2 linked regions of the Alligator mississippiensis genome follow. Each later gene encodes a partner of the first gene's protein in a complex. Links are inferred from orthologs where the notes say so. Each region holds a gene or a part of one and is shown in the gene's direction. Other genes may lie near its edges.

Region 1 (12,488 bases):
AGTCCTGGCGGGTACTGCGCAGACATTTAGTGCTTGCTGAAGCAAGTACTAAATGGTTGCGCAATACCAACGGTGTAGTGGCGTGCACGTGTAAATGTTCCCACTATGCAGCAATTAGTGGTCTGGCAGGTGGAACCATCCCGTTCTGTTTCTGGGAGGATCGTAGGTGGTGCCTGACTAGGTAGGGTTACACAATATGAGGTGGCCCCTGCCTGCTTTAGGCTGATTGGAGAGCTCTACTGCCAGGGCACCATGTCCACATGATACAGCCCTTCCTGGGCTGGCTGTGCAGTAGGTCTGTGGGGCAATTTCTTTTGGAGGTAGCAGAACCTGGCTGGGAAACACTGAGATAAACTGAATGTGGTGGCACTCCCAGCTGAGAACCACTGTTGGTGCCACCACATTCCAGAGTGCCATGGCCCTGAAAAGGTTGAGAACCACATCCCTAAGGCATGTCTGCCCCACTTCTGTGCAGCCCTGGGAACACTGCTGTAAAGCACACTATGCACACCTATGTACATGCCACATCCTGGAAATAAGGTACTTGGACTGCCCTGGAGTGGCACTAAGCATGTGCCTCAGGTGTACTTTTTGGAATGTGCTCAGAGCTTTTGCAAAGTGACTACATTGCCCATGGGTAGATCTAGGATTTTAAAAAAGTGGGTGCAGATGGTCTGGTACATCATCACATAAAGTAAAACATTTATTGTTCTCCAATTAAAAAGAAACTAGAAGCTTTACGAATATGCTAAGGGGCTTGTTCTATATTCTCCAGTTTAAGGTCAAAGTAAAAGCAAGTGTATCTTTATGGGCTATAAAGCATATGCTATGTCATATATTGTGTGCAAAAAACACAACAAAATAGGCAAAAGTAATTAAAATATGTTGTGTCATTACTCTTGTAGTCATTAGAATGAAATATACAGGGTCTTCATAAAATCATTGTGCACTTTTAAACTTTAATAACTTAGGTTGTAGGTATGATAGAAACAATCTGTAAATGGCATTTAAAATCAAATTTATTAAAGTTTTAGGACAACTAGAGTACACAATACTAGACTTCAACATAACCACCACTTTCTTTTCACAGCTGATATGGAATTCAATTCTGCTAGCCATAGGACACAGTTTACCTTCTCGTCTACAGTAGCCATTTTTCATTTGTCAAAGGATCTGAAATAAGAATAAATTCATTATTACTTATGAAGTCTAGCATTGTGTACTCCAGTTGTCCTAAAACTATAATACATTTGCTTTTAAATGCTGTTTACAGAGTGTTTCTATCATACCTACAACCTAAGATATTAAAGTTTAAAAGTGCACAAGGACTTTATGAAGACCCTGTACATCTCTTTTCAGCTTTATAGAACAAAACCTAGGCTTCTTGAGCATCTTGCCAGTGCATCCAATACTTAACTGAAGGTTATTTCCACACCTGAGTTAATGCTCACCTGAGTTAACATTTCCACACCTGAGTTAATGTTTTTAGCTAAAGTTTAAAACAGTCTGCAGGAGGTATATTACCAGGAACAGCTACCAATTAGCAGAACTGCAGAAGAAAGAATAGCTTGATAAGTGGAACATCAAGGGCACTGAAAAGGAGAGAGGGTTGTTAACACCTGTGGAATAAAGAGTTCAGAAGGAAGGAGTGATTATAATGAGCCATGAAGACAAATGATTCCCTAACTGCTGCCTGAATAGGAATGCTGCTGCCAGACAACCAGTTTTAAAATTTGGGAGGCCCAGGAATCAAAGGAGGGGGGTGTGACTTTACCACTGCTTCCCCCCTGGATCTGCCCCTGACATTGCCTCCCATTTGGCACTTGGGCAAATTTGGAGCAGAAAAGACTGGGTTACACATAACAAACTTATGGTGGCACTCCCAATTGTAGTATGGAGTTACTGTGCTTTTGTACAGCATTTAGTATGGTACCTTAATCCCAGCTGGTCATCCTTGAGAAGCTACTGTAAATAGCAGTAGAAATTAATAATGAGCAACATTTGACACTTGTATCTAGAGGGAATATGCAAGAGATGCAAAAGCAGTGCTCTGGTTTACATGTGCCCTACTTTCTATTCAGATGTAAGAGGTTCACTCTATTTCCTTTCATTTTAAAATAGCCCAGCTTCTTAAAAACCTTAATTAAAATAAAAAAGGTGAGATTAGAGACTAGCAGTAGTGCACATACTCTAAAAATGCACAGGTTTAGGCAAATAACAGATGTCTGAAGCTTGTGGCTTTGGCCTTCTTTGAGGCTTTCAGGAAAACAATCTTAATAAGCAGGTACTAAGGTTGGAATTCACTCCTAGGCTAGTACAAGATCTATCCACCAATGGAATTAAATGAAATTTAATTATGGCCACAAGCTAGCAGACAGCAGATTTAGACTGGACATTAGGAAGATCTTCTTCACAGTTCGAGTGGCCAAGGTCTGGAATGGGCTCCCAAGGGAGGTGGTGCTCTCCCCTACCCTGGGGGTCTTCAAGAGGAGGTTAGATGAGTATCTAGCTGGGGTCATCTAGACCCAGCACTCTTTCCTGCTTATGCAGGGGGTCGGACTCGATGATCTATTGAGGTCCCTTCCGACCCTAACATCTATGAATCTATGAAATCCAATGAAATTAAAGCTCCAGGGAGAATTCAGTGATGTGTGGGCTTTGTGCTGGATCTCTGCACATGGCAGATTTCACCTTCCATATATATATATATATATATATATATATATATATATACTGCCTGTGTGCTTCATGCAGGAACTTTGCTACGAAGCACGACCTACTTGTTCACTCTGGATCCCTCCGTGCCAGGGTTGAGGCAACGTAATGGGCTTGGGGTGGGGCTGAAGCCACGGTCTGGGGCACACTGTCCCTGGCATGATGACTGGTGTGTGCTCAGCACTGCTCAAAGATGGCTACATTCCCATCACTTTGGGTAGGTGATGCATATGGAGTGGGAGTGAGTGGGTGCGGCATATTCCGTGGTGATAATCCCAGGCATGACATGGAGGTGATATAGAAATGCCCAGAAGGTGAAATTCAGCCCATGCAGACAGCCAGCATAAATCCTACTTGAGCTTTAGTTTAAGGATTTCATTGGCTTATAGGCCTTGTGCTAGCTAGTCCAGGAGTGAATTTCACCATTAGCCTGCCATAAAAGGACGATGAAGGGGCTAAGGTGGTATCCTAGAGGGGGCAACCAGATTGCCAAAAATGTGTGTTTCTTTTATTCTTTTATGATTCACCTTAATTTGCATTTCTTGGTTGTCCAACGTATTATTATTATTATTAGCATCAGCATCATCATTGTGCTGTTGTTGTTATAATAATCAGTATTATGTAATTTCAGCCTTCTTGTAACATTTTTAACATTAATTTAATTGTCATGTATTCCCTGGCTTACCTCCAATTTAGTAAAGTGATTTATCAGGGGAATTTTACTCATAATTATGATGGCAGTGCCCAGCAAGCACTAATAATATTGTTGTACTGAAACACAGCCCCATGTATCTTTTTCTGTCTCTCTGAAATACAGACATATACTGTGCCCTTCAGAGGACATTCCACTGAGGCCCCTGTCACACGTTAAACTTAAGATGTGATTAACCAGTTAATCATGTCTTAAGTTGTGACCCAACTACACATTCAATTAATTAATGGTGAAATAAAAAGAGGAATAGGCATGTAATAACTGTGTGGCTGGTTCCTATCACACCATTAACCAAACATGTGGCCAAGGTCAGTTAAAATAAAAAAGGTGAGATTAGAGACTACCCTTGTGACTGGGAGCCCCATTAGCTGATGTGGCTCTCAGCTGCAAGGGTGCACTATGTGCCCTCACAGCTGGGAATCTGCAGCTGATCTGGGCTCCCAGCCACAGGAACTCATGATGTGTCCCCGTGGCTGGGAGCTTCATCAGCTGAGGGGGCTCCCAGCTGTGGGCCCTTACTACTTGCTGATGCAGGGGGAGCCCAGGATCATCATGCCCACGATCATGCCCTGGGCACCACATAGGGTAACTAGGAATAATGGCCATAAGTTGATAAAGAGCAGGTCCAGGCTAGACATCAGGACGCATTACTTTATGATTAGGGCAGCTAGGACCTGGAACCAACATCCAAGGGAAGTGGTGCTTGCTCCTACCTTGGGGGTCTTTAAGAGGAGGTTGGATAGACACCTGACTGGGGTCAGATGACCCTAGCATCTGTTTCCACCCAAGGCAGGGGGGCGGACTAGATGATCTGTTTAGGTCCCTTCTGACCCTAGCTACTATGATAATCATGCCTTACATGGGCAATAAGGCATGATGGGAGCAGATGCATGATCCTACAATCAAGCCTCCTGCCATGCATGTGTGACCCACATCTGATCCCATTGCATCTTTACCTGCTTGCCTGGTAGGAGACTAAATTTCATATGTTAATTGAATAAATTACTCTTAATACACAGCTGAAGCTGAAAAATACAGCATGCAATATTTAGGAAATTCCAAAGAGCTCAACAATAAATCAATCTGGACAAAGTATGACATCACCCTGGCTAGCATACCACCTTAGCCCCTTCATTGTCCACTTATGGCAGGTACTAATGGTGAAATTCACTCCTGAGCTGGGACAAGATCTATCTGCCAATAAAATCCTTAAGCTAATGCTCAAGTGGGATTTATCCTCTGCTAGTGCCTGGTGGGAAATACTTTCTAATGTGGTATTACTGCAACTGTGGTACTACTGCAACTGAACTGTTCTGAGCATAATCTTTGGTGACTGAAAGTTCCAGGAGTTATCTTCCAGGGACATCTTTACCTTTCCAGTCTACTTCTTCTGTGTCTTCTTTCTCCTGCTAAGGCCTCTCCTCTCCTTTTCAAGTTCCTAAGCCCCCTGATTATGTCTTTTGTTCCTTCTCAAAGAGAACAATATGAAGAAACTGCAGGTACCCTCAAAAGCCATGCTTATTAATATATGTGTATGTATGCATACACATGCAAACATACATGTGTGTGTATCTATGTGTATGTGAACATATATAGAACACCCTGAAGACCAGCAGGCAGACAAACTATTTACAGTGGCAATAACATATTTGAATACCTTGCAATTGTCAAATGCAACATAGATTTCTCATGGAGAAGAGATCTCTAGAGATCATACATTTTCTCTCTCCCACTATCCATCCCAGACTACCTTCTTCCTCTCTATCTGCATTCTGCCTCCAGTATAAGTGATTGGAAACTGGTTTATACCCATAACAGAAGTCTGGCACACAAAACCAGTCTATACCCATAGCAGAAAAGAAGTTCAGCACACACAGGGTGGTTTAAAAACGGCAGAACCCAATCTAAGATTTGTCCCCTCAATAAAAGAGTGAATATGTGTTCTGTTTGCTATCAATCTAAATGATGCCACTTATAGAAAACCACATAACTTAGATCAATTCCTCATTGGGCTTTTTGAATGCCTGTACCTAAATTTTAAGTCTCACCCCCACTCTGTATCCTTTTCTGTCTACTTTTATGGTAAGGTTCTTATAGAACTAAAGAAAAAATGGTGACTTGTACATAGTGTTTTTTAGCCAAAAAATATATTCCCGCTACAGAAAGGATGAGATCCACCATTGAAATTTATTGTTCTTAGTGTAATCTCTATAGAAACTTAGGTCTCTCTTTTCCTCCTCAGTTTTTCCCATGGTGTATTCTGTTTTTTCCTGCTCACATTTCCCCCACTAACTGTGCTCTGCACTTAATCCTCAGAGATCTTTCCCTTTCTCCCATTCAATGCCCTCCTATATGTAGCCCCTTTAAAATCCTTTAGTTCTCTAAGGTGTTTCAGAGCTAAAGGTGCCACTAGGCTTTATCTCCTTTTTTTGATTAGCCATATAAGTAGTTTCACTACAACTGACCCCTGGTCTACAGCTGGGATGCAAAGCAAGGGAAGGGGGAAGGATTCCGGTTATTTGGCATTTAAAAGTCACATAATTATCTAGGCATCTCAGTGAGAAGTGGCTACCCATCTTGGATGCTTCATTTTTTTCAGGGGTTATCTTGGGATCCCTATAAATTAGTAAATAATGAAAACTGTGGGGAAAAAATGTCTATTCTGGGTTCAAAATTGTGAAGGGGATGTTGCACTTTCCTGAAATAGGAAGGGACTGGACTTGAGCCAGGAGTCTCTTCCAACTAGATGTTCCTCTGAAGCCCCCTTGGCCATGTGCTGCAATGTTATATAGCTCACTTTAAAGAGACTTATCAAAAAATGAGAAGTTCCTGAGATAGCAATGCCCAAATTTAACATAACTATTTCACTGCATGAACATCTCCACTGTTGCCTGAATTTCCTATGCTGTTCCTGAGATAAAAAACAAACCACACTTCGTTCGCCAGAGCACAACTTGAGAAACTCCCCTGTGTGGCAATTGCTCTCGCTTTCCCAGAGCTTGTGTGCGCTCAAGGGTTTATTTCCGGGACATGACTCTTCTTTTTCAGTTTGCTGCAACAAATCTTGAGAACTGACAATCTCCTTGGTAAACAAGACTGGCTGTCAGCTCACTGATACCAACATCTCCTACTCTAGCAAATATATTTGGAAAGAAAAGATAGGCTATCAGCAGGGGAACAGGTGGTATATTCCAGCTAATCACTAAGGTTATAATGAAAGGGGCTGGGGAGAGCAGGGTGGGGAGGAGAGAGAGAGAAAGAGAAAAAAACGGGGAGAAGTACAAACCTGAAAGAAAATCCATAGTGTCAGTGACAGATATTTGTGCTAGGAGTGTATTTACCTTGAGCTGGAGTAAAGCCCTTTCGATCTGAGCTGTTCTGGGTTGGGTTATTGTTTAGGAAAGGCATTCAGTCATTGTGTTTTGTTGCATGCTATTTGCCTAAAAGGAATTCTAAAGGGATTTGCTTTCTCTTGTTTCACGAGCCCCACGTTTTCATACTGACCTAAGTGGATGTACACCAGCTGGTCATGTCCATCACAGTAGCCAAGTCTGAGAATTCCTGATTATACTTAGATCCTATAGAGTCTGCAGCAGGGACGGTCAGTAGCTGAGGAACTTCGTAACAAACCACGGTTTAAAATGAAACAGGCAGGGAACCTGGTGCATTTTGCCTAAAGGAACCGGCATTTTCCTGGATTAACTATGAAAGACTTAATAAACATTCCACTTTTACATATCTTCACCCTGGCGGCCTTCAGCTTAGCCGAAAAACTTCCAAAAGGTTTGTTTAAACAGCCTTCATCTTTTCATTGCTTTTGTCACTTACGGCATTTTTATAAAGGTGCTGAAGTCTTTTAAGTGTTGTATAGGGACTGTTGTTTTATTTCCGGAAACTGTATAAATACGCTGTTTTCATTTTCACCTGTCATAGAATTTCTTTATGTTCTTTAGAGGAGATCAATGAAATAATCCTGCATTTATATCTAATGCTGGCAGTTGTTTTATTCTCACAGAAAACAAAAAAAATACTCAGTGCCACTGTGTGCACATATTAATGCATATATATTTACTAGATGTGCATATATATAATACCTATATAATTAAAATAAATTGACATATACATATATGCATGTTGCATGATAATAAACCTATATACAATATGTGTGTTATTTATATAGTTTATATGAAAGGTACCTTTACCTTTCCATATGGAAGTCACACAAGTTCAAGACAATATGAGGCTGAAGTTATAAAAATCTGTTAAAAAATGCAAGTTTCCTCCAGTGGGAATTAAAGATTTACCACATCAAGCACTTACTGCCTGTTGGGTGAAGGGTTTTATTTCATCTTATTAGGACAGGATGAAAATGTACCGGCAATAGCTTTCAGCGTCTTAGGAAGAACAAGTAACTGATTTTGGCCCATGAAGCTGATCATTATCTACTTTACCAGTAGCTCTGCTCTTGTCTAGCTGATTTTTTGTAACTGGTACCCAGATTGATACAAAGAACTGCAAGTTCCTTACTTCACAAAAATACTGAATTTAGACAAAAGGTGTTTTTGTTCAAGCAGCAACACCAACTCAAATAGTGGAGACTGTCCGCTTGCAAAGCCTGCAAAGCCTGCAAAGCCTTTGGAAGACCAAAATAAGACTTTACAAATGAGAAAACAAATAGGAATAGATATGATATCTCTGATAGCAACATGCAATGAAAAGAAGTATATTTTAATGAAACATTTTCAGTGGATTTTCTTTTTAAGGAAGTGTGATGCTATATGTTCAGGTGAATTGTCATATTAAACTTATGAATACAGCGAAGTATGCTAGAAAGACCACAAGGCAGTAGCTGTTTTAGATTCTGCAGAAAAACTGGACTGTCATTGCCAAGATCAGGCCCCAAGGAAATACCTAACTAGAGAAAGAGTACCATTTGCAAAAAATCAATAACACTGAGGTAAAGCTTTATTTTTCCATTTCACTTCTTCACTTTAAAAAAAGAAAATTTAATAAAAAAATAACAACAATCTTCCACTAGCTGATGGACTGATGTTAGAACAAGACTCATGGTCTTCTCATAGGAAGTAATAAACAGTAGAGTTTTTAGGAGTGGTCTTAGCACCTTTTATGCCTCCTGAATTTACAGTGGACATTCAGGAAAATGGCACCTCGGTGGCCTTAGGGATGGAGAACTAAGTCTTGTGATTATGTATAAAGTCACAGCATTACTTAAAAACGTCATGGATATGTTCCTATGCGGTGTGCCATTACATACAAAAGACCTGGGCTCTTTTTTTAGTCCAGTGTTAATGCACCATGATTTTTTTTCTCAGCCTAATTAGAAATGTGGCATGAGCTGCATTTTGAGGGTTTTTTTCTCTCAATTTTCCTCAATATTTTAGCTTTGAGACATTGGTCATTAAAATAAGCACCGTCACCGCCATTTTTGGGTTCTCTTTCTGAGCAGCAACAAAATGGTGGCTTGCCCCCCATGTGACTCGATCTCACAAGCACATCAATGACTTCCTGGAAAGAGGCCCTTCTCTCCTGTCATCCTAGAAAAATAATACTTTCTTTATCTTCTCTTTTTCTCCAACACTGCATTTTAATAAAGGAAAAGAAAAAAAATGGTAGGACAGTAAGTATGGGATATACCCAGGTATTAATATTATTGTTTTAAAGGTTTAGAAAGGAACAAAGGGCCCTTAAAAATGGTGAGGCTTAGCAAGTTTTCTTTTGCTTTTTACAATTGTATTAGTAATTTGGATGGTACTTCCTATATAACATAGCTTTGATAGGGCTCAATCCTGTTCTCTCCTGGCTGGAATGGAAGCCAGTATGCAAAATGCAGGTCTGTGAAAATGCAAATGTGTAGCAGTGAGGTTCAGAGGCTCTGTGAGACAATAGGTGTGAGACAGGTAGTTGTGGGGGAGAAGGGGGAAAATACTACGCATTTGCATTTTCACAGACCTGCATTTTGCATACTGACTTCCATTCCCGCCAGGAGAGCACACAAAGCAACAACAAACTGTCCCAGTGCCTAAGGAAGGGTGTTTGTACCTGAAAGCTTGCAAACAACAATTTTTCCAACTATTTAGTTGGTATTATAAAAGATATCACATTTACCCAAAGAACCTTGTCTGCTTATGTCCTTAGACCAACACGTCTACAACCAACAACCCTAAACCCTAGCCATAACATTTGATTCAGAAAATAACAGTCATTTCTAAAATGGACAGAGCAACATTTCACTACATAATACACATTCTCATAACACGTTTTCATAGGACCCTGGGGTGAAATCTTGACTTCTCTGAAGCCAGAAGCAAAACACTCATGGACTTAAGTGGGGCATGCACTTCACCCTGGTTGCAATATTTACTAACATTGAAGGAGACATTTCTGACCGTGTAATTAATTAAGGCCCTAGATCTTTTAAAGCAGTGCTACCAGGCAATAACCAGATACAGACCCAATATTTTAGCTAACTTTAGCACATAACCCTTAGGATCTTAGGGATCTTTCAGCTCTATAAATATGACCCTCTTTTCACATTAATAATACAGGTACTGATGTCTATTAGCAGCTCGCTGTCAAATTGGAGAGAAAGTTTATTGGCATAGATTTACCATAGTGGAATTTTCAAATGTACAAAATCTCAATATTTTCAATGGTGTACAATAATATGTGAACTTGAAAGGTGTCATTAGTATGAAGGAACATATTTGTTTCTCAGTTCCACAGATATTATTCCAGTTCAACTCCATAACTCCAGTGGAGTCATAATTTTATACCCACACAGGTGATAGAAGAATTAAGCCCAAAGTTCATGTCATACCATATAAATAATCTGATTAATCTGTACCAGAGTGCTTTGCATTATCTTATGATATTTAGTGAGATGAAAATGGTGTATTTAAAGTTGTAATGGTATATTTAAAGCTCTGAAAAATTAAAGTTGATTGCTTAGGTAAAGGACAGAAGATATAATGCATGAAGTTTTTTCTGTGAAGAGACATAAAGTATACCAAGAATCTCTGCAGTTAACAGATCATGTCTGTTTGGTAATGTACAGATGGGCAGGGTAATTTTTGTCAATTGTGTAAAGATTGGTGCCATTTCTCTTGTCCCTTCTGCACTGTCACATTTCACAGAGAAGGCATAAGCGTAGTTTCTACATACACAGCTGTCAAATAAATCCAGTTCAATGAGCACTGGATATATGTCTCTAACAGACATACATGAGTAGTGCCTTTTGATCTTTTATCAGCCTGTACCAAGAGGGGTGGAAAATACCTTTCCAAAGATAAAGCAGAATTTCGTATGTGGTGGGTCTGTGACAAAAAAAAAAAAGATATTTATTATTTGCATGACACCAAGTGCTACTTGATGAAAGAAAGAAGAAACAAATGGTTGTGTTTCTGTGCTATTGCCACACATGAGGAACATCTAGAAATGATCCTCATATAAATAATAGCATTACATTTTTATTTAAAAAATATCAAAATACCTTTGCAGTTCATCAGGTCAAACTAACAACAGGGATAACTGGATCTCACATGATATTCATCAGTAGTGAGGTAATTTACAAAGACAGAGAGAAAAAGGAGTTTCCTTGCTTCCATGTACAGACTACTCACATTACCAGTCCATGAAAGAGAGCACATTATGTGCACGCGGATAGCGCCTTGGCTGTATCCTCTCAATGTAGCTGAATTGTCATGGAAAGGGAGGTAAGGTCCAAATTGTGACTCTACATATCACTTAAGGATTGAAGTAATTCCATGCTATATATGGAAAGTATAAGGAAAAACATGATATAAGAATTGGGACACTGCAAAAAACAAATGCTCATGGGGACCTCAGTTAAATTGAGCTAATGGAGGGGGTACAATGTACATTCCTGAATTTTCAAGGGAGTTATCCGGTGGTGACCCTGCAGGGAATGTGGCTTTTCTTTATGCTTGTAAATGTCCTTGGTAATTTGATACCATTAGCAGTTTTTTCTCACAAGAGACCCAGCACTGAAAGAGCATGTTTTCTTTTTCTTTAAATTCCAGCTCCCCTTATTACCACTCCTCCGGAAACAGTAGATGCATTAGTAGAAGAAGTTGCCAAATTCATGTGTGTGGTAGAATCCTATCCTGAGCCAGAGATTACCTGGACACGTAATAACATTCCCATCAGGTAAGACTGCAAACCTGAGGAAGGTTTATAATATAAGCACACCTTTGTCCATAACCTATGTGCTGGGCCTGGTTGGCAGTTTTCCATCAAAAACTTTTATTTTCCCCACAGTGGAAAATACAGCATTTATATATATATACAAAGAGATTTTGCTAGACTTTTTCAATTTTCTATCAGGAAAATCTAAAGAAAAATTTTCCTTTGCAGTTTTTTTGATCCAAACTGAAACGATCTGTTTCATGTCAGTTCAAAATGTGTCTGTGTATGCCTGAATTGCTGTGGTGCTTCATATCCCAGTTCTACTCTGTTGACCAGGCTTGTTGGCAAAACTACATCTGGTATGATGCACCTGGGTCTCCCTCTGGTTGAACCAGCAGGGTTCAACATGGAATAGGTGACCACAGTACATCAGAGAAGGTGTAGTGCATCTTGGGGGCTTCCTTAGCCAGCTTGGACACATAAGGCAGCAGTTCAGGGATGTCAGATGAATGAAGAGTCAAATCAAAACTTGGGGCACTGACAGATGTGAAAAAACAAAAGAAAACAAAACAGCACTTGGCTGGAAGAGGAAGTGTGTTAGTTCAAAGCAGCTCCCCAGCATCTATATAGACTGGGCGCTTCAGCGGGGCTTTTTGGTGTTTTTATTTAAAGCTGATTCAATTAGCTATTAAATAAAAGCACTAAAAAACCCCACGAAAGTGCACGATCTATACAGATGTTAGGTGAGCCGGGCTGAACTAACACACTTCCTCTTCTGATAAAGAGTAGCGTCACTAAAAAGACATGCGCCAGCACTACTGCACAGTAACTCTGGTTACTGAACATTAATTCAGTACTTGATTATAAAAGTACTAAATTTAATGTGCCGTGACTG
Region 2 (12,323 bases), on another chromosome or scaffold:
TTCTCTCAGTGGGCTGAGTGGCAGCAGAAACCTGATGTTTGTGAGGCTGGTGTTGCTCCGCCATCAGAAGGAAGGGTTTCTGTGGCCACAGGGGAACGAACTATGAGTATGGACACGTCTAGTTTTGTCAGCAGAACTTAAATTCTGTCTGCTAACCATGTAGTGTATAATAGACCCTAATTAATACACTGATTATTGAACTAAATCTAAGAAAATCAGTAGCATAACTTAGTTTATTAATTGTAGCTGCCAGCGGTTAAAATTAAGTGGGCTTTTCCTCTTCATTATGTTATGGTAGATCCTTTGTAAGGAAGAGAGGATTGTATCTTTGGTTTTTTTGTCTTGAGTCATCAGTAATTTGTTTAATGCCATTTTTAAAGTTTCCATGCAGGAATGTTGAGTTCTTGTCTATTTGGGGAAGGTGTGTTTATGCAGTTATGACTCCATTGTATTCCAAGGCCTTATATAAAGAAGGTAATACTTATCTCTCTAATGGAAATAAGTTGCATGATAAATCCTAGGATCACTTTTGCTTTTGCAAGGCTGCATTACATTGGTGGCTCAAAATTAATTGATCTTGTGATCAGTTAATACAATCAGATCTTTTACTTTCTCTGTCATTTCCAACTGATCAGCTGTTAGATCAAAAGTGGACAATTACTTGGGCCCACAGGCCACATAAGGAGTTTTGACGAGCTGTCATGGGCTGGGAAAGCACCTGCACCCCATAACGGCTCACCAAAATGCCCTAAACAGCTGATTCCATCCATCTGCCCATGCCCTGCCCACGTGGGTCCTGGCTGCCACTTACTGTTTGGGTTCTGTGGGCTGCTGCCACTTAGCCAGGGATTCCAGCCTCGGCCCTGTATGCCCATCTCGCTCTTGGATACCACTCCCTGCCCATCTGCAGCCCCATCATGGCTGAACGCAGAGCAGTCACAATCTGTTCCTAACATGTCCTTGTGACAGGCACCAATTTCACGGGCCACGGCCCAGGGCAGAGCTGTGCTCGCCGCACATTCCTGCCTATGAAACCAGTGCCCATTGGAGGGGCGTGCAGGGAGCAGATTTTGGCTCTGTTTCATGCTTGGTCATGACAGGGCCACAGACCGGCAGGCAGGGCTGGGATTCCTGGCTAAGAGGCGGCAGCCCGCAGAACCCAAACAGTAAGCGGCAATTTCGTGGTTGATGGGACTAGGTGTTGGGAGCTGAAGGGCCCCAGAGCCAGCAGAATGCAAAGGGCTCCTGCCAACTTTGCAGTCCTGGCAGGGGATCAGGCTCTTTCTGTGGATTCCCTGACTCCTGGTGCTGAGCATTATCTCAGCTGATGCTAGGCTAGCATTAGCCTAGTCTGAATGGCTCTGGGAGGGAGACCTATGTGGGCTTTTGCAGCCATTTGCAACCCTGGGTGTGGCTAGAATGAGCAGGGGATGGCAACAAAGGGCTGGCTGGGTGGAAGCAGAGCTTGGCACCATGTTGAGGCTTGGGAGGTGGAGGAGCTGGGCAGGGCTGCGTGGGGCACGTCAGGTGGCAAGTGCCGGGTGGTAGCCAAAGGGGGTGTGCTGTAGATGCCACACAGTATGGATGATTGGGAATAGCAGCTCCATGAATGCAGCCAGTCACTGCTGGGCTCCTGTCCCGTGGTGCCTGGCGCAAGGTCTTGTCCTGCTGTCTGTCAGGCACTGATACTCCCTTTGATCGCCGGGGCAGTAGTGGCTGTCTTGGTGCTGGAGCTGTGACTCCGAAGCCAGCAGCTACCTTCATTCTCTTGACAGGCATGTCTAGCGCTGTGGGGCATCCTGAGCTGGGAGGGACCTGCCGAAGGACAAGCTGCAGGCCAGACAAAATCCCTCCACAGTCCAGATTTGGCACACAGGCCCTATTTTGCCCTTCCTTGCTTTAGATTATGCTAGAAATTCTTGTTAGTAGTACCTTGTTGAATGATTACATGCCACTCATTTTCTGTTTCTGCAGTTATTAGGGTCATCCATTTTTATAACATATTCTCAATTTCCTTTGTATTGAAAATGCCCCTCCCTCCCGTTTTCATCATCACAGCAGCATTTAGTGCCAAGGTTATTAATAAAACTATTAAGTAAGATAATTTTCAAGAACAATTCTTAAGGAGCATCTCTAGAAGTTTCCCTCCAGCCTGGCAAGTTTTCTTTTTGGCTCAACCTGCCATTAGTTTCCTCTTTGCCAGTTCCTCACCCAGGTTACAGTTCTGGTACTGATTTTCCATCTTCCTCATTTTAACTAATAATTTTCCATAATAATGAAAGATCTTGGGTTAATCTGGTACCGTTTACTTTTGGTAACCTCACGTTCATCACATTTTCCATTTACCTCTATATTAATTTCCCTTCCTTTGAACTTTGTTGTAAAGCTTGCTTGAGAGGTCAGAGTAACAGGGGTGGGGTTGCCCAAATCACTTTTCCCCCCTTTCTTAAGTATAGCTACTAAATTTACTGTTCTCTTGTGGTTCAGTGCCACCCCTGATTTGTCAGCGTATTGAAAATGTTTGTTACCAGACTAGCAATTTCATGTGACAATTCTTTCACAGTACCTTGGGATGGAGATTATTTTGTCCAATTTGAGCATATTAAGCTCTTTGAGATTTGCTTCCCTCATGTCTCCTCCTAAGAATTTAAAGTACCTAGCATGTTTTTTTGGGGCCGGGGGGGGGGGGGGTAGGGGATTGATGGGGGCCTTATTCAGAAGCACAAATGACACTTAACTACTTAAACTGACTCCCAAGTTAGTTAGGTGTTTAAACTGCTATTTTGTACCTTTCAAAAATCTCCTCCTCTGTAAATAATTAAGATAGTATTTGCAGGCTGCCACGCACATCACCTCCTACATTAATACGTCTGCTTAGACTTTCCACCAAAAAATCACCTCCAAATTCAGCAGGAGCATAAGAAGCTTTAGTTCCCCAATGAAATTAATTTGACAAAGTTTGGAAGTGTGGAGGTGACAGTGCAAGCTGGTTATCAGTATAAAAACCTTGCCAACTCATGATATAATGTATGTCTTTAGTTATACACTAGCCAACTGCTGATCAAAAATGATTGGGGGGGGGGGGGGGGAAGCGGCCAGGGACAGCGGCCTGCATCTGGCACTGCTCCTCCCCCCAGCCTTCAGGACCAGGCCGTTCCCCTCCCCCCACTGGCCACTTCAGGGCCGGGGCCAGGCTGCCTCCCTCGTCTGCTCTGTTGCTGCTACCTGCAATACTGGGGGGCCTGGCCAGTGACTCTGGCCTTGCCCTGCCCCCTGTCCTCTCCGTTTTCGTGGCCTGCAGGGAGCAGGAGGGAGAAGGCCAGCGCTGCTGGCCCTGCCACCCCTCTATCTGCTCTGTCACTGTCACCTGCAGGGTTGGGGGGCCGGGGCCAGCAGTGCTGGCCTTGCTGCAGGGGGGCGGGGCCAGTGCCACCAGCCCATTCACTCTGTTGCCGACTGGGGGGTGGGTGGGGATAGAGGCCCTGGGCCAGGCTCACTCCCCCCACCCTCGACCCTGCCGCTTTGGGGCCGGGGCCACTCCCTCCACCCCCACCCAGGGGGCTGCTGGGGACAGAGCCCAGCATCCGGTCCTGTACTCCCACTCCCCTTGTCCCCACCCCCCCAATTTGTTTTCCAGCATCCCCCCCATCGCTTCGGGCCTGATCCCATTCCCCCCCAGCAGTTTGGGTTTAGGGCCGCTTCCCCTGTCCCCCATCGCCGTGGCGGCCCCACCCCCATTCCCCCCTCGTGCCACCACCTCCTCCATGGAGCAGGGGGGAGGGGGCCACTCCCCCTTTGCCCCACTCTGCCAGGGGCTGGGTCTGGTCCTCTCACCCTCCCTGCTGCCATTGCATGGCCCAGCTCCACCCCCCCATCCTCCATTTTGAGGCCAGGCCCGTGCCCCCTCATCCTTCCCACCTCTGTTTCAGGGCCAGGCCAGGCTCCCTCACCCCCGCCGCATTGGCCCGGGTCTGCTGCTCCCCCGCCATGTTGGGAGGGAGCAGTGCAGGACAGAGAGGGGGCGAGGCCAGTGGTGCCACCTCAAAGGAGCAAGGAGGGTGCTCTGCTGTCTGCTCCATTGCTGTCACCTCCAGGGAGCAGGGCTGGCCTTGCCCTCCCCTGCTCCATCCCGTGTCCCCACCATCATGGTGGCACTCCTCCACGCCACCACCTCCTGTTTGAATGCTGCATTCACACTTTGCTGGGATGTTTCCATCAGCCAATCAGAGCACGCATAAAGCGTTATGGACAGACAGACAGACAGACTAAGGCTTTTATAATATTAGAATTATGGGATCATCCTAATTATTGTCTTCTGGAAAGCAGGGTAGACTTGTAGCTTATAGATTAACTAAATCAGAAGGTTTCATAAGCAACAGCTTACTTAATCAGATGCGGTGATCAGCCGCTTACAAAAACTTATACATCTCTGATTTAGTTAATCTGCAGTGTGCATATCTACCCTGCCTCTTGCCCAGAGCAGGCTTTAGGGAAAATGGCACTCTGGGCGAGCTTGTATTTTGGCGTCCCGTCCCTGCTGCCACCTCTCCCCCCATGGGCAGAGGCAGGCAGGCAGAAGCGCTGGATGCAGTCCAGCGAGGAGGTGGAGCAGCATGGTGTGCCAGGCAGGCAGGCACCACTGCTGCCACCCATGCTGCCCGTTCCAGCTCCTCCTAAGCAGCCGCTGGAGGTGAGAGGTGGGCTGGGCACCATTCCTCTTGCCTGGGGTGGGGATCTGCTTGGGAGGGATGGGGAGATAGTGCTTCTGTGAGTGTGGGCTGCCCACGTGTGTGTTTGTGTGTGTGTGTGGCACCCCCCCAACCAGGGTGCCCTTAAGGCCGGCTCTGCTCTTATCTGACTTCAGACTAACCCTAACTGCCTCTCTATTGTCTTTTAGTCTGGTCTTCAGCATAAAAAGAACAGAAAATTTGTGCAAATTACAGTGTTCAGTTCCAAGTTTTCCATCCAGCAAACAAACCAGAAAATCAAATGTACTGTTTTATATACACAAGGGCTTCAATGAAACCAATGCAGTTACCAAGTGCTTAGTTACACCTGGACTTCTCTGTTGTAGTGGATCCTTTCTGGGTGTTTGGGTTTGAGGCTCTGGCACACGCCATTACTCAAATCTGGCTCTGTCGGACTTTGGACCTGTGGCTGCTCTAAGGCAGTGATTCGCAGTCAGTGCGGTGGAACCGGGGGGTGCCCTGGGATCCTGTCAAACCTACCAACCATTTCTGCCTTTGTGCTTTAACACAGCGTTTCTCAAAGCGGGTTGCAAGAATATTATGAAAAGATTATGAATAAATTTGAAAAATGGAGCATATTTTACATGCTACTGGTGCTTCACCATTTGTTAATTCTGTGCATATTAATAAACAGGAATCTGGGTTTTCCATTTGCTGCAGAAGAAAGCAGCAGTGGTGGCTGGCTCATGGCAGTGGGGTAGAGCCAAAGCCCAGTGCACAAATGGCTGGTGGCAGGAGAAGATGGGGGCAGCGCCCACCACATTACTCCTCGTGCTGCTGGCAGCACGGCTGGCGTGGGAGTCCCAGCAGCAGTGGTGGCAGCAACAAATCTTGCCGCCCTGCTCTGCTCTCCCGCATTGGGCCAGGCTGCAGCCCGTGCCTGCTGTGGGAGCACAAACCTGGGAGTGGCACGTGGCTGCCAGGCCCCACAGGTCCCCCTTGCCCCACACACTGGGAGGCCGTGTCGGGCGGTGGGGCAGCAGGGCGGGAGTGAGACGCACCAGCAGCACTGGTCCAGTTGTTGTGGTCATCCATGGGGGCAGCGGGTCTGGAGCGACTGGCACTGGCCGGGCGGGAGGCTGTTTTCTACTTATCTATTGGGCTGGCACTGGCCATCGATGTGAACAAAGTGCAAAAAAGGGTTGGGACCCAACACCTAGCACGCAGGCTGGCTACCTGGTGTATCCTGAACCCCGCTCCCCAGAGGCCTGTGGGCAAGTCGTGGGCATTTTCAAGGGCAGACTGGACAGAGGATCCTGCCTGACCAAGCGCCCGGCCCCTTGCAGCCAGCCCTGCGTCCCAGGCGTGAAGTAAACCGGGGGCTGCTCACCCGTTTCTTCCCGCTTTCGGGAGCCTGCCCGCAAGGCGGCACGGCCGCGGCAAGAGCGCGGTCTGCGGAGCGCCCTCGCCCCCCGCGGCCGCCGCACAAGTGGCCGCTGACACCGGCTCCCGCCGCGCGCCGGGCCCGGCGGCACACCTCGCACGTGACTCCGACCGATGCCGACGTCATCAAGAAGTTAACAACCCCTCCCCACAAACCGCCGCTTCCCCGGGGGTCCCGCCCCACCCCACCCCACCCCCCCGCGGCCCGGGGCAGCGCGAGCCCCCAGCGGCGCCCGGGAGGCGGCAGCGGAGCCTCCCCCCCCCAGCGCCGGGGGCCGGGCCGGGCCGGGCCGCAGCCATTGCGCGGGGCGGCGGCAGCCCCGGGCCGGGCGCGCTGGCAGTGACCCCGGCGGGCGGGGAGGGGAACCATGCCTGAAGATGACGGATGCCGTGGTGGTGGAGGGGCACGTCCGCTGGAGGGATGGAAAAAAGGTCCCCGCTTTGCCTCTCCCCAGGGATCCCCCCCCCCGCCCCGCCCCGTCCCCCCAGTCCCGTCCCGGGCTAACTCTGTGCTCTCGTTGCAGTGGAAGAGCAGGTGGCTGGTGCTGCGCAAGCCCTCGCCCGTGGCAGGTAAGGGCGGCGCGCGGGGCCCGCGTGGGGGCGTGGGGCCGGCCCTGACCCGACCGCCGTGGCGGAGTCGGGCTGGAAGCGCCCCCCGGCCTGCCAGCCCGCGGGGGACCCGGGGAGCCACCTCCTGCCTCTGGGACCCGGTGTCAGTACGGGCCCCCGAGGCAGAAACCAGGGGGCATCGGTGCTCACCCCTCACATGGCCATCGGCGCGGCCTCGGCCCTGGCCCCCACTCCTGGCAGCGTCGCCCGTCCCCCTGTTGTCACTACGGGGAAACGGGGTCAGGCCCCGCAACAGAAACCCCCCAGCCCTGACACTTCTCACCGTGCGGGATGTGTCCTGACCCCTAACACGGCCGTCGGTGCAGCCTCAGCCCTGGCCCCGACCCCCTGGCGGTGTCGCCCCTGTTGTCACTGCAGGCTCCCGGAGAGAGGGTCAGGCCCAGTATAGAACCCCCCCCCAGCCCCCACACTTCTCACCAGGGAGGGAAATCCTGTCCTGACCCCGAATACGGCCATCGGTGTGGCCTCAGCCCTGGCCTTGACCCCCTGGCAGTGCCCATGGGAAGCTGTCAGCAAAGTTGGCAAAAAGTCTGCATTCGTTAAGTCCAAAGCTGGTCACAGGCGCCCGGCTGCTCTAAGGCTGCCCCTCAGCCACAGGGCTCCCCCCCTGCTTGCAATAGATGTGGAGGCTGAGGTCGGGTGCAGCTCAATGGGGTTGGGGGGGTGGACATTACATATGACATTAAAAAAAATCCACATTGCAATTACAAAAATATTTCTTTTATATCACTCGTTGTGAACCGACTTCCAAATACCAGTGTTTTCTTGCTTAAAACTTGCATTTCAAAGCAACTGTTATTTTTTAGTTTATGCCAAAATGGCATTTTAGTCTATTTTTGTTTGTTTGTAAAGCTTGCCCTTTTTTTAAGTTGCGTGATTTTTTTTATTGAATCCACTCATAGTACTAGTAGTAGTTGGACCTGGGGTAGTATTTAATCAACATATTGACATTAAATATCAAGTCAGTTCAGTTTTTTAAAAAGACCCAACTAAAATACTGTAAGTTAAACTGAAACAAACAATTTCCTTTCCATGTTTCCTGGATAGAAATTTGAAATTTTTCCTCAGAAATGATATTTTCCTATGGAGGATTGAAGTTTTGACAGCACATCCAAAGTTTTCCTGTGGGGAAATGTTGCACAGAAAATTACTTCTAGCTCTATTCCTGGTTTTATCTCCTATGTATATGTTTTGTGAGTCTGCTTTACCTAAAAACGGATGTTAGAATCGTGATTAATTACTTCTATGTTCAGATGTAGATTTATATTTCTCTGTTACTTTGGTGTAGGATTAATTTTGCATAATTGGAAGTGTTAAATATTCAGTATCCTCAATACCTCTGCTGATCGAGTCTATGGTTTGTAAAGACGGGAGTTCCTAACATTGATATTTACTCATCTGCATCCCAACTTCTTGAACCCAAATTTGAAACCTTGATTCTTCCAAACCCTGCATATTGTTACTCTGTGAAACTTATTCTACTTTCAAATGGAATTTATTATAGCAAAATTGAGCGTTTTTGTCTAAAATCAGCGTGCTGTTCCTTTAAGTGTCTTGGGGCTATGCAATGTGTGTCTAAAAAAGCACCCTTAAACTTTGTATTTGCAGCTGTTTCTGGTAACAGGTGCAATATTACAATCCAGCATGTCTGCAAAGTTTCCCTTTAATTAACGTACAGTGCATTTTTCAGTTGTTTTTCACCTCTTTGGAGGGGTGCCCATGCTTTGCCCAAATGTGAGCCATATTGGCAGCTTGCCAGGCCTCGGAGTGCCCCACCTAACATTCATCAAATGGAACACGGGCAGCTGCCTTGTCTGTAGCTTGGGACTAGGTGTGAGCAATGGAAGTTACAGGGGAAAAGTCTTGGCTTGAGCTTTTTGCATTTATTTCCCTCTGTACGGAGCACAACAGGGTGAGAAGGGGAGCTGCAGCCTGTGTGGAACTGGTGTCCTTGCTGTATCAAAGAAGGATACAACCCGTGGTGCTTTTCCTTATTGATCTGGATAGCTGTGAAAAGCTTGCCTCCAGCGCACCCCTCATGCTGTGATAGTTTCATCGCTTTGCCTAGTTATGAAGCAATAAATAAACTTTAGGAATGGGTTAAAAAAATGGCGACTGCGACTGAATAGAGAGCAAATAAAGGTGCACAGCACATAATGATTACGCAGTAATATACCCTGCGGAATATTTTACGAGGTGACCTGAGCTGAGACCAACAGCCTTTCTGGCAATATAGTCCATTCACCATTTAATAGTTGAGTAATCTGGGAACTACTATAAGAAGTTCATTCAGGTTCGCTGCCTTCTACAGGAAGAGGATTTGACAATACTGCTAACTCTAGCCTTCCTGAAGTAAAAGCTTACATTACAGTAATGCCAACTGGAAACATTCAAAAATCACAAGTCAAGCCCCCCAAATTATCAGGTTGTCTCACAAATGATTAGATTTTGAAAGCAAATGACCAGTTTGGAGATCTTTTTAATTGCCTTCTTATTTCTGAGCCTGTAAGTTAGACTTGAGATATATCGTCAAGCTTTCTTTATTTAAACAGGTGTTAGAAATGTACCTTAAAAAGGTGAGCTCAGACTGCAACCATGCTGTTGCCAAAAGCATTAACTGTTGAAGCTGAGTCCTGAGAATTATAGCTGTTCTGCTTCATGTTTTCTGACAATGTTGCTTCTTTCAGATTGCTTACTCATGTTGGTGTACAAGGATAAATCTGAGAGAGTGAAAGGGCATAAGGAGAGGAGTAGTGTGACCTTGGAGGACATCTGTGGCCTGGATCCTGGGCTCTCCTATGAGGGCTTGAATCACACACTTGCCATCATCTGTCTGTCTCAAGTTGTGATGCTGGGATTTGAAAACAAGGAAACTATGTATGCGTGGGATGTCCGGATCCGCTACAGTTTGGGAGAAGGTAAACTTTGTCTTCTACTTTTTTTTCCCCTCTTGGAAAAACCAAACTAAATCAGAGCTGACATACAAAAATCTGGGTACAGTTCAGGAGAAGATTATTGCTGGTCCCAGAGTAAAAAGACCTTTTCCACAAGACCCAGATTAGGTGCCACGGGCAGTAGGTCATATGGGTGATACTGTATACTAGGAGTGTCTCACTAGTAGGTACATATTAGTACTGGCAGTTGGGTTTTACTGTTACATTTGGGTCAGATAGTGAAAGCATCGGTTAAAAGGCCAGAGTTTTATTCCTACCCTTTCAAGTAGCTGTGAGAGTTATAAATTACTTGTGTCATTAGTTTTTGGATTTATTATGAGTCCATGGGCTCAGAGAGGTCAAGAACTCTAAAAGGCAGAGCCATGATTAGAATTTGAGAGTGGCTAAATTAGTTACACTTGATCTTTCCTTGTGACAAGGAGACAGACTAGTTGAATTCTTGAGGTCCCTTTTATCCCTGGTTTCTAAGGTTTTAGCTCCCAGTTCCCTGTCCAGTCTGTAGAGTGTGCTGCTCTGGTAACATCTGCTCTTGTATCCATATAATAGCAAAATCCCACAGAAAAGATACCATTCTTGGAAATACCTTTTCCTCTTAACTTCTAGGTGTCCTTAATTTTCTGTTCTGTGATTCTAACTTGTGTTGTTGTGACCAAAAAGTAGTAATAGTGTTCTCATAGAGATAATCCAGAGTATTTGGATTTTAGTATATTGCAAAGTTTAGGATGACAGACATTTATTATTGCTGATGATCATGATGATAGTAATCTATTTATATATAATGTATCTGTTAATGGTAATGGGCTTTTGCTAAACACAGTATAAATAGAAATGCAGCCCTTTCCTGAGAAACTTTGAGGATAGGTGAAAATAAGATTTAAGCACAATAAGAGACCTTTAGGAAAGTGCAGTCAGCAGAGTTTGGTAGGTTTCTTGATATGACTCTACTGCAGTGATTTTCAGTCAGGGTGCTGTAGTATCTTGGGGTGCCTTGAGATCCTTTTAGGGGTGCTGTGGGATGCTATGCAATATTAGCATTGTTAGGTGAGCAAACATGATTCACAAGTTGTACCCAGGGATTTCAAATAGGAATCAGTAGGTTCAAAACATTCTGCCCTGTTGTGGTCCTTCTGAGTTCTCTGCAACAGAAGAATTGCTGTATTATTTTTCTGTTGTTACAAACCGAGTGAAAAATAAGAGCTGGCATTTTCAATGGGGTATCTTGACTCTAAAAAGCTTAACAACCACTGTTTTAACTGATATAAAAGAGAAAAAGATACTGGAAGGTGGGGAAAATGAGAAGGGATAGAGGCAATTCGCACTAAATCTTGGCAGTCTTCTTGAAGTTAGGGAGATTCCGGGCTGAGAGGGAAGAAGAACGAAGGTCAAGGGCTTGAGGCAGTTACAGTGTATTGGGAGGTAGATATTGGATGTGATTTAGGGATGAGAAGTGGCACTATTGTGCAAGGATGGAGGTGGGCAGTAAATTTAAAATAGAGAGAGCTGGTTTTCTTTAGTAGGAGCCGGTACAACATGGTTCATGGGCTAGATAATAGAGCTGGGCAAGAGTCAAGCAGAGCAGAGACAGTGGAATTAAGGAAATCAGTTATAAATTTGAGGGGGCTGAGAGATGAGAATGTGAGCAACAGGACAGTGATAACAGGACCTCGATGGACTGGAGCTCATAGGATGAGCTGAGGTTAGAAAATAAATTTGTAGAATTAAGAGAAATTGGGAATCCTAAAGGGAGTGCACTAAGTAACAGAGCAAAAAAAATTATCAAGGCTCACATTTGCGAGAGCCCGGCAGGACAAATTCTGCTGAGGGGAAACCAGCACGGGTTTGTAGCAGGCAGATCGTGCCTGACCAATCTAGTCTCTTTTTATGACCAGGTTACGAAACGCCTGGACACAGGAGGAGGGGTGGATGTCGTATACTTAGACTTCAGGAAGGCCTTCGATACGGTATCCCACCCCATACTGGTGAACAAGTTAAGAGGCTGTGACTTGGATGACTACACAGTCTGGTGGGTGGTGAATTGGCTAGAGGGTCGCACCCAGAAAGTCGTGGTGGATGGGTCGGTTTCGACCTGGAAGGGTGTGGGCAGTGGGGTCCCGCAGGGTTCGGTCCTTGGACCGATACTCTTTAATGTCTTCATCAGCGACTTGGACGAGGGAGTGAAATGTACTCTGTCCAAGTCTGCAGATGACACAAAGCTATGGGGAGAAGTGGACACGCCGGAGGGCAGGGAACAGCTGCAGGCAGACCTGGACAGGTTGGACAAGTGGGCAGAAAACAACAGAATGCCGTTCAACAAGGAAAATTCAAAGTGCTGCACCTAGGGAGGAAAAATGTCCAGCACACCTACAGCCTAGGGAATGACCTGCTTGGTGGAATGGAAGTGGAAAGGGGTCTTGGAGTCCTAGTGGACTCCAAGATGAACATGAGTCGGCAGTGTGACGAAGCCATCAGAAAAGCTAATGGCACTTTATCGTGCATCAGCAGATGCATGACGAACAGAACCAAGGAGGTGATACTTCCCCTCTATCGGGCGCTGGTCAGACCGCAGTTGGAGTACTGCGTGCAATTCTGGGCGCCGCAATTCAAGAGG

Evidence for each region.
Region 2: the proteins of MUSK (region 1) and DOK7 are in contact, whole or in part, in a crystal structure (PDB 3ML4), measured with the Mus musculus proteins. The link is inferred for Alligator mississippiensis from reciprocal best matches to the Homo sapiens genes MUSK and DOK7. Residues at the interface, in NP_035074.2 of Mus musculus: Leu547, His548, Pro549, Asn550, Pro551, Met552, Tyr553, Gln554, Arg555; in NP_001335203.1 of Mus musculus: Leu154, Ser155, Asp156, Leu157, Arg158, Arg159, Tyr160, Gly161, Gly172, Thr173, Arg174, Ser193, Asp197, Val200, Arg201.

Annotation. Positions count from the first base shown.
Region 1 is NC_081826.1:166,225,778-166,238,265, forward strand, and holds the start of MUSK (muscle, skeletal receptor tyrosine-protein kinase), read left to right. Parts: upstream 1-6,857; 5' UTR 6,858-7,131; coding exon 7,132-7,210; intron 7,211-11,487; coding exon 11,488-11,614; intron 11,615-12,488.
Region 2 is NC_081825.1:21,751,735-21,764,057, forward strand, and holds the start of DOK7 (protein Dok-7), read left to right. Parts: upstream 1-6,309; 5' UTR 6,310-6,509; coding exon 6,510-6,563; intron 6,564-6,655; coding exon 6,656-6,701; intron 6,702-9,448; coding exon 9,449-9,679; intron 9,680-12,323. UniProt on the Homo sapiens protein: Probable muscle-intrinsic activator of MUSK that plays an essential role in neuromuscular synaptogenesis. Acts in aneural activation of MUSK and subsequent acetylcholine receptor (AchR) clustering in myotubes. Induces autophosphorylation of MUSK.